2 linked regions of the Cricetulus griseus genome follow. The protein of the gene in region 2 interacts with the protein of the main gene of each other region in a pairwise test. Links are inferred from orthologs where the notes say so. Each region holds a gene or a part of one and is shown on either strand. Other genes may lie near its edges. The genes, in order: Anxa4 and protein-arginine deiminase type-4.

Region 1 (3,818 bases), on a different chromosome or scaffold from region 2:
GGCCTGGAGACAAGATGCAGGTTAGAGAGTTAGGACTGCCGTCTTGTATCATCAGGGCCTGGACCTATGCCCTGGAGATGCTCCCAGTGGAGTGTGAACCCCATTGTGACCCTTGATTTTGCAAAGTTGTCTCTTCCATTAGAAGAACATTAACATCTTTCTCCCGGCTCCCAACCCCACCCCTGCACTGACACAGCTGATTCAGTCTTCTTAACTAGTCAGTCTTCATTGGTCAAGAGAATGCTAGACCTGAGGTAGAACTGTTGAAGCTGATGCAATGCCAGTGCCAAATACACCAGCTCCAGCATTGAGGGCCACAGGAACCCCTGAAGGGATACGAATGAGTGATAGACAGGCACTGCCTTCCAGTTTGGAAGACTGTTCTTTAAAAAAAAAAAAGATTTTTAAAAAAGTGCATGCATTGTGTGTGTTGTATATATGTGTGTGTCATATGTGTGCAGGTGCTTATTGAGGCCAGAAGAGGGCAGTCAGTCTCCTGGATCTGGAGTTACAGGTGGTTGTGAGCCATCCAATGTGTGTGGGGGGTTTATTTAACTCAGGTCCTCTGCAACCTCTCCAGTCCTGCCACTGTATAAACGTCTAAAACACAGAAAGTTATCTCTCCATATCCTTGTAATCCAATGCACTTTGTAATAGAGGTAGCTGGCACAAACACGGGACCCATGAACAGTGAATTAAAGTAGAAGAAATGGTTGGGCATGCATGACTAGCCAAGGTCTCTGAAGGAGAAATAAGATAAAGGGATAGAGCAGCCCGGGGATGACACCTGGGGAGTGCTCATGTTTAGGAGACTGAATGACTGAAGGGCGGGTAAAGGAGGGTGCATGTTTCAATCAACCCAGCATCCCCTATCAGAAGCCATCACCAAGGAAGTCACGCACCGCTGCCAGGGACACCAGTACTCGCTGGAACATGAAGGATGTGTCTGAGCAGATGTCCTCTTCAAGGCTCCTTCCATATTCTGCCAAGAAATTGAAAATGGGTACATCAGAACAGAGTCCTGCCTAGTGCTGTCACCCTCCAGCAAGCTCTGTCCCTCCAAGGCAGCATGTTCATGGGAGCAGGTCAAACCAAAGTGGTACCCCATGTGAGGTTTTCTAAATCTGAACTCTGTGTGGCCCCAGCCATCCCTACAGGTCTATAAGAAGGTAATGGTTGCTGGGCAAGGGGAGGCAATTCCTTCAGTGGTGTAACCATCAGTAAAGCAGCCATGATCCTGTAGGTAACTGCTCACCCATGCTGCTGTAGGTAACTGTTCACCATGTTCCTGTAGGTAACCCTTCCCCTATGTTCCTGTAAGCAATTCTAATGAAGCCCATTAGCTCATAAAAATGGCAACAACAAACAAAAAAAAACAAATGGTAAATATGACCTAGTAAATATGACCATGTATGTGCTATGGCTGTCTCTTTAAGATGGTGGGGATCAAGAAGACAGGGCTGGAGTCCTCTTTGGTTTCCTTCTGTCTGAGACTCTGCTCTGCACTTGTCTGAACGGAAGCTTGTTGTGGAATATTACTTTAACTAGGTAAAGATATGTTACATTTGTTTATGCTACACAGAGTATTACTTTAACTGTGTAAAGGTGTGTTACATTTGATTATGCGGCATTTGTTTAATTATGTAAAGATGTGTTGCATTTGTTTCACCTTGCCTGCCTAAGTCACCTGCTTGGTCTAACAAAAAGCTGAACAGCCAATAACTAAGCAGTAAAAGGATAGGTGGGACTGGTGGGCACAGAGAATTAGAAGAAGAGAATGAGGGAGAAAGAGAAGAAGATGCCTGGAGCCAGCCAGGCAGCCACCGGCCAGCAGCCACAGAGTAGGACATACAAAAAGAAAGGTAAAAAGCCCTGAGGTGAAACATAGATTAAGAGAAACAGGCTAATTTAAGTTAAAGGGGAAAAAAAGCTAGCCAGAGATGAGCCTAAGCTAGGCTGAGCATTCGTAACTAATAAGAAGTCTCTGTGTCATGATTTGGGAATTGGTTGGTGGCCTAAAAGAAAAAGCCTGCTACAGAAGCTGTTGAAGGTTACTAGTGTCACAGGACAGAGGTCCCCAGAGAGGTTCTAACAGATCTCTCTGATGAATGACACTCTCTATAGCTACAGAAGCCAATGTGGACACATGCCAGGGTTAGGGGCTAACTCCAACCCTATGTGGGACTGTGTGGGAGGCATGGGGGTTCTTATGCTCACAGATAAGCACTAGGGCGACCAAGAGTGTTAAACACACAGGATTTCTCCTTCAAAGAAAGGGGTGTACAAGCTGCTATCCACCCAGAAGGCTGGCAGCAGATGTGGTTAATAGCCTGGTGACCTTTGCACTGTCTGTGTGGACAAGACCACACTAGATCCTCCCCAGACCCTTATCATGAGCCTGCCAATCTATAGAACTTATCTTTATGGGAGGTGTCACATGTAATCCAATCTATAGAACCCATCTTTATGGAAGGCATCATAGATACTTTCCAAAGAGTTTCAATGTAGTCATATCTTGAATTTTATTGTGCACACAGGGTTGGGTTGATTATCACCAGGAAATTTTTCATCAAATTGTGCTGTGCTTAAATATGCCTAAAATAAATGACTCAGGGTCAAAGTTTGAACCAACACTGGCTACGTAGTCATGTTGAACCAAATTGCCTTCTTGCCTCCCCTTACTCTTCTGGCTGTGGTGATCACAGAGAACCCCTACAGGGCTGAAATCAGGGTTATGGGGCTAAATCCAAAACCTTCAGGGTCAGGGGCTAACTTCAGACTCTCATGGTTTAGGTTCAACCTCTGAACCCTGTGCAACACTCCTTACTGCATGACTGTTTCCTCCACAGAAGTGACGCATATTAACTATGGAAACCCAGGGAACACTAATGCTGGGGTATAGCTCCAGCCTAGCTTGTAAGAGACTCCAGGGCCCATTCCTAGTACCCTGGTGGGTGATCCATATATATGGCAGAAATCTGAGGAAAAATAAGTAAAATAAAGGGGAGAAAGCTCCACCATAATCTAATAGCTGAGATATAACAGTCACCAGTCTTGTTTTTAAGTCATAGGCAACCTGTGCCGGGGTCTGGAGTGTGGTGATATCTTGCTTGTACAAATAAAACCTGTCTGAGGGTCAGAGAAATGAGTTTGCCACTAGCTAACCATAGAGGTCTGTATAGACAGACAGGGAGTGAGGTAGTTGGGCAGAAACAGGGTATAAACAGGGAGAAACGGGAACTTGCTCTCTTGTCTGCTGAGAAGCTTAGGAGGTAAGGTGCATTGTGGCTCCTCCTTCTCTCTGATCTCTCAGCATTTCCCTCTATACCTGACTCTGGCATTTTATTATCTAGACCAGTTAAGAACTCCATTTACACTGGAGGATGCTACTCACGCTGCTGGTAAGTCTGGTTGATTCGACGGATCTCCTCAGGGGTACGAGAAGCCAGGATCTCTATCAGGCAGCCTTCATCTGTGCCAGCTCCCTAAATGTGAGGCCAGAGATGAGGATGGTATGAACCAGTGGATCAAGTTAATCTGCAATTTTTATGCAGAGTTAAACAAATAAAGTAATAATACAATTAAGCTCACAACTGAAGAACTTGAGCCCCACACTCAGAGAAATGTAGGTGTGAAGCTGCAGGGTAATGCCAGCCCACTGGGGTCCAGGAGCAGGGCCTGTTAACTTTTACCTGGCCTGCCTAAGCCCAGTGTATTCACCATAATCATTATTCATAATAACACACACTTGTACAGCCTGGCTGCCACCTGTTGCTTGTCATAGCAAGTTAGGCGCAGTTTCTGCTTTCTGTGGTCCT
Region 2 (3,818 bases):
ATGCCTGTATTGAGAAAGTTCTGACTGTAGGGCATTTTTTAAATTAGTGATTGGTGGGGGAAGGCCCAGCCCAGTGTGGGTGGGGCTGTCCCTGGGCTGGTGGTCCTGGGTTCTATAAGAGAGCAGGCTGAGCAAGCCCACTAGTGAGCAACACCTTCCATGCCCTCTGCATCAGCTCCTACTTCCAGGATCCTTTTCCTGTTTGAGTTCCTGCCCTGGCTTCCTTTCATGATGAACAGTGCTGTGGAAGTGTAAGCTGAATAAACCCTTTCCTCCCCAACTTGTTTTGGTCATGGTATTTCATCACAGCAATAGAAACCCCAACTGTAGCTTGAGAAGTTCTCAGAAGGGGAGTAGGGGGTCAGCAGCTGGAAATGAGGTTCAAGAGGCATAAGAGGGAAAGAGAGGCAGGTGGTAGCTCTGTGCAAACAGGGAGGCTGGGGTGGGTCATTACACTGTGAAGATGTGTTGCTCTCATTTGTTTAATAAAGAGCTAAATGGCCAATAGTTGGCAGGAAGAGGTTAGGTGGGACTTTTACACAGGAAGAGAGCTCTGGGATGAAGAAGGGTGGAGTTGTCAGGAGACGTGGGGAGAAGCAAAGTGAACATGCCATACTGAGGAAAGGTTACTGAGCCACGTGGTAGAACGTAGATAAGAAATATGGGCTAATTTAAGTTATAAGAGCGAATTAGTAACAAGCCTAAGCTATTGGCAGAGTATTTATAATTAGTAATAGTCTCTGTGTGGTTATTTGGGAGCTGGCTGGCAGGACAGAAAATTCCACCTACATGCAAGCTGGTGTGGTGATTTGCTGCAGCGGCCACTGGAAACTAACATCAGGGCACAGAAGGTGCCCCTGGGGGCTCCCTGCCTGTGACCTTCAGGGACCCCATGGCCACATATATGAGGTCTACCTGCATGTTACCTGATGCCCACAAGGACTATAGCCTCCTACGCCAGTGCCTTGCTTATTTCTGCATGAGATGGTGTTTATTAAACAGTTGCTAAGTGGATGAACTTGATCCGGATTCCAGCCTTCACAGGCCCCTGCAAGCTCCACTGTGAACTTGACTGCATTTAGAACTGGGAGACCCACCACTGGGTGTACCTATGAGCTTGTTTCCAGCGAGGTTTAACTGAGGAGGGAAGTCCCACTCGGGATGTGGTGATGGCACTGTCTGGTGGGCTAGAGTCAAGACTGAGTGGAAGGGAGACGGAGAAAGCAAGCTGAGCACCAGCATCCGTCTCTCTCTGCTTCCTGACCGAGGATGCTGCCTCAGGCCCCTGTCACTGAGCTCTCCTGCCATGATGGACTGTGCCCCTAAGCTGTGAGCCAAAATAAGCCCAGCCTTCCTTAATCTGGTTTTTATTGGGTATTTGATCCCAGTGATGAGTACAAGATTGACAAGCATCCGTGTCCTATCCATGAGGACACTGTGGAGGGAGGAGTCACTGAGAACTTGGCCAGGAGAAGGAGACTCTCCCAGAGTGAGCCCTGTACATGGAATCAGACTGGGTACAGCAGCTGTGGGGCTGACATCTCCCACCCTCAGCCCCCCACTCCAGGCACCAGGGCCCCACACCACCCTACCCACCAGACCCTTACCCTATCCCACCAATCAGCCCCCAGCCCACCAATCAGTCCCCGAGCCCACCTTCAGCCCCCTACCCCAGCCTCATTCCCCTCCACCCCCCCACTGCCCACCTCCCAGGCTCCAACCCACCCTCCTTAGCCCCCTCAGCCAAACCCCCTCAACTCTTCATTCCCCCACCCTCAGCCCTCCACCCACCCCACCCAGAAGGTCCCCCCCTGCACCCCAGTCATCACACCCACCTTTTGGTCATCTGTGTGGCCGCTGGCTGCTTTGACCTGTAGGGTCACCTCCAGCTCTGGGTCCAGAGGCCATTTGGAGGCACCAGTGGTGTTCTTCTTGGCTGGAGGACTGTGAGCAACATGTACAACCACTCCTGGCGAGGCTGTGATGCCAAAGGACGTGCAGCCCTTAGGGGCAGAGCTGTGGAGTGAGACAGGGGCCAGCAGAGGCACTGGTGGTGAGAGGGCCTGGCCCACCACCACACTGGTCCCAGCCGTCCCCCTTTCCCCGGCAGGAAGAAACACAGGCCACCAATGGGCTTGCTCTGGCCAGACAGTAAATATGGTATGATTGCCAGAAAGGAATGAGAAAATAGAATGGGAATCCTCAGACTGGAGGCCTTACACTTGAACTAGAGAGACAGCAGCAGGAGGTGTGTAACAAAGGTACCTCCTGCACACCCATGGAGCAGTGTGCACACAGGGGACCTTCAACAGTGGACATGCCAAGAGCTGTGTGCATATAAAGAATCGCACACAGGGGACTGGAGACAGGGCTCAAAATATATCCCACAACAAAAACCCCACAACCACAGCCAAAACAAAACCACACAGATTTCGGAAGTTGTGACAGGACAAATAATCTTTTTTTTTTTTTTTTTTTTTTTTTTTTTTTTTTTTTGAGACAAGGTCTCACTATATAATCCTGGCTATCATGGAACTCACTCTGTAGACAAGGCTGGCCTGGGACTCATAGAGATCTTCTTGCCTCTGCCTCCTGAGTACTGGGATTAAAGGCGTGCACCATCACACAGGGAGGCAGAGCAGGTAGACATTCTTGAGGCTCATCCTCTTACAAACAACATGAGTTTGAGAGGGAGTAGCTGAGGGGACAGGAGTAGCATTGGAGACCAGAGAGGGAGGGGAGGAATGAGGTCAGTATGGTACTCGTGTATGTATGAAATTCTCAAAATAAAATTTATAAAAGTTGTTGGGGGTCAAGCTCAGAGGTCCTGACAAAAGGACAAAGGGAACTTCAGTTCTTGGTCCTTGCTTGGGGTGGACTTGGCAAGAAGGTCCATCTGGGCCTTGAAGGAGTTAAGGTTTCAGTTCCTGGGCATCTGATTCTTTTCTGGGGAAGAGACTGGGGTTGTCCATCCAGGGCTACTGTGTGCTCAGTCGTGATGCTCTTGAGACACCATGTGTTCCCTTTGTGCAACACTGCTTGGCTAGCTTCCTGCTGACTTTGTAGCGTTGTGTGATAGCTTTCTGCTGTCTCTGCCCCTCCTTTCAGTAAACTGATTAGAGGGTGCTCTAGTTCTCCATAAACTCTTGGTGCAAGCCATCAGCTTAGGCAAGATCTGGTCTCAACTTCCCTATCTTTGTCTTCTCATCTTCAATGACCCTGTCATTGAAGAACCACCCACTGCAGGTCCAGGTCAGATGAGCTTAGGACCATCTCCAGGGATACACTTTCCCTATCGGCATTCTTCAGCCACCTGCCACAGGCAAGGCGTGGTCCTAGGCACAGGAGCAGCTGCCTCAGCCTCCCCTGGAAACAGGAAGACAGGTTCCCAGGCTTGGTCCTCAGACCTGTTGCTGCAGACTTGGAACCCAGTGATCTGAGCTTCCTCCTGTCCCCAGGGTGCTCTGTGCACCCTCAGGCATGAGAACCACACCCAGGAAGCTACTGAAAGGCAGCTGCTGAGTTACCCAACTGAGTGGAAGCTGAGGGACCTGGAACCTAGGCTCAACCAGGCACAAATGAAGCTGGTGGCTGAGAAAACCTGTTGTTGTTATTATTATTATTACTATTATTATTATTTTATGAGGCGATTGTTTAATTTCAAAGTCAACAGAACCTGCTGGACAGGATGAAGAGCAACGCCCAGGTTTCTTTCTCAAGCGACTCTGAGGTGATGAAGCTGGGGGCAGGGAGCAGTTGCCGGCTTGGGTCAGCAGTAGTCAGGACAAGCACATGGGCAATGGGGAGCCAGTGTGGGT

Evidence for each region.
Region 1: the proteins of protein-arginine deiminase type-4 (region 2) and Anxa4 interact in binary tests that used the Homo sapiens proteins (3 or more experiments, as listed by UniProt). The two-hybrid records come from large-scale screens. The link is inferred for Cricetulus griseus from reciprocal best matches to the Homo sapiens genes PADI4 and ANXA4.

Annotation. Positions count from the first base shown.
Region 1 is NC_048601.1:58,492,045-58,495,862, forward strand, and holds part of Anxa4 (annexin A4), read right to left. Parts: intron 3,486-3,818; coding exon 3,395-3,485; intron 983-3,394; coding exon 903-982; intron 1-902. UniProt on the Homo sapiens protein: Calcium/phospholipid-binding protein which promotes membrane fusion and is involved in exocytosis.
Region 2 is NC_048595.1:12,490,388-12,494,205, reverse strand, and holds part of protein-arginine deiminase type-4, read right to left. Parts: intron 2,017-3,818; coding exon 1,836-2,016; intron 1-1,835. UniProt on the Homo sapiens protein: Catalyzes the citrullination/deimination of arginine residues of proteins such as histones, thereby playing a key role in histone code and regulation of stem cell maintenance.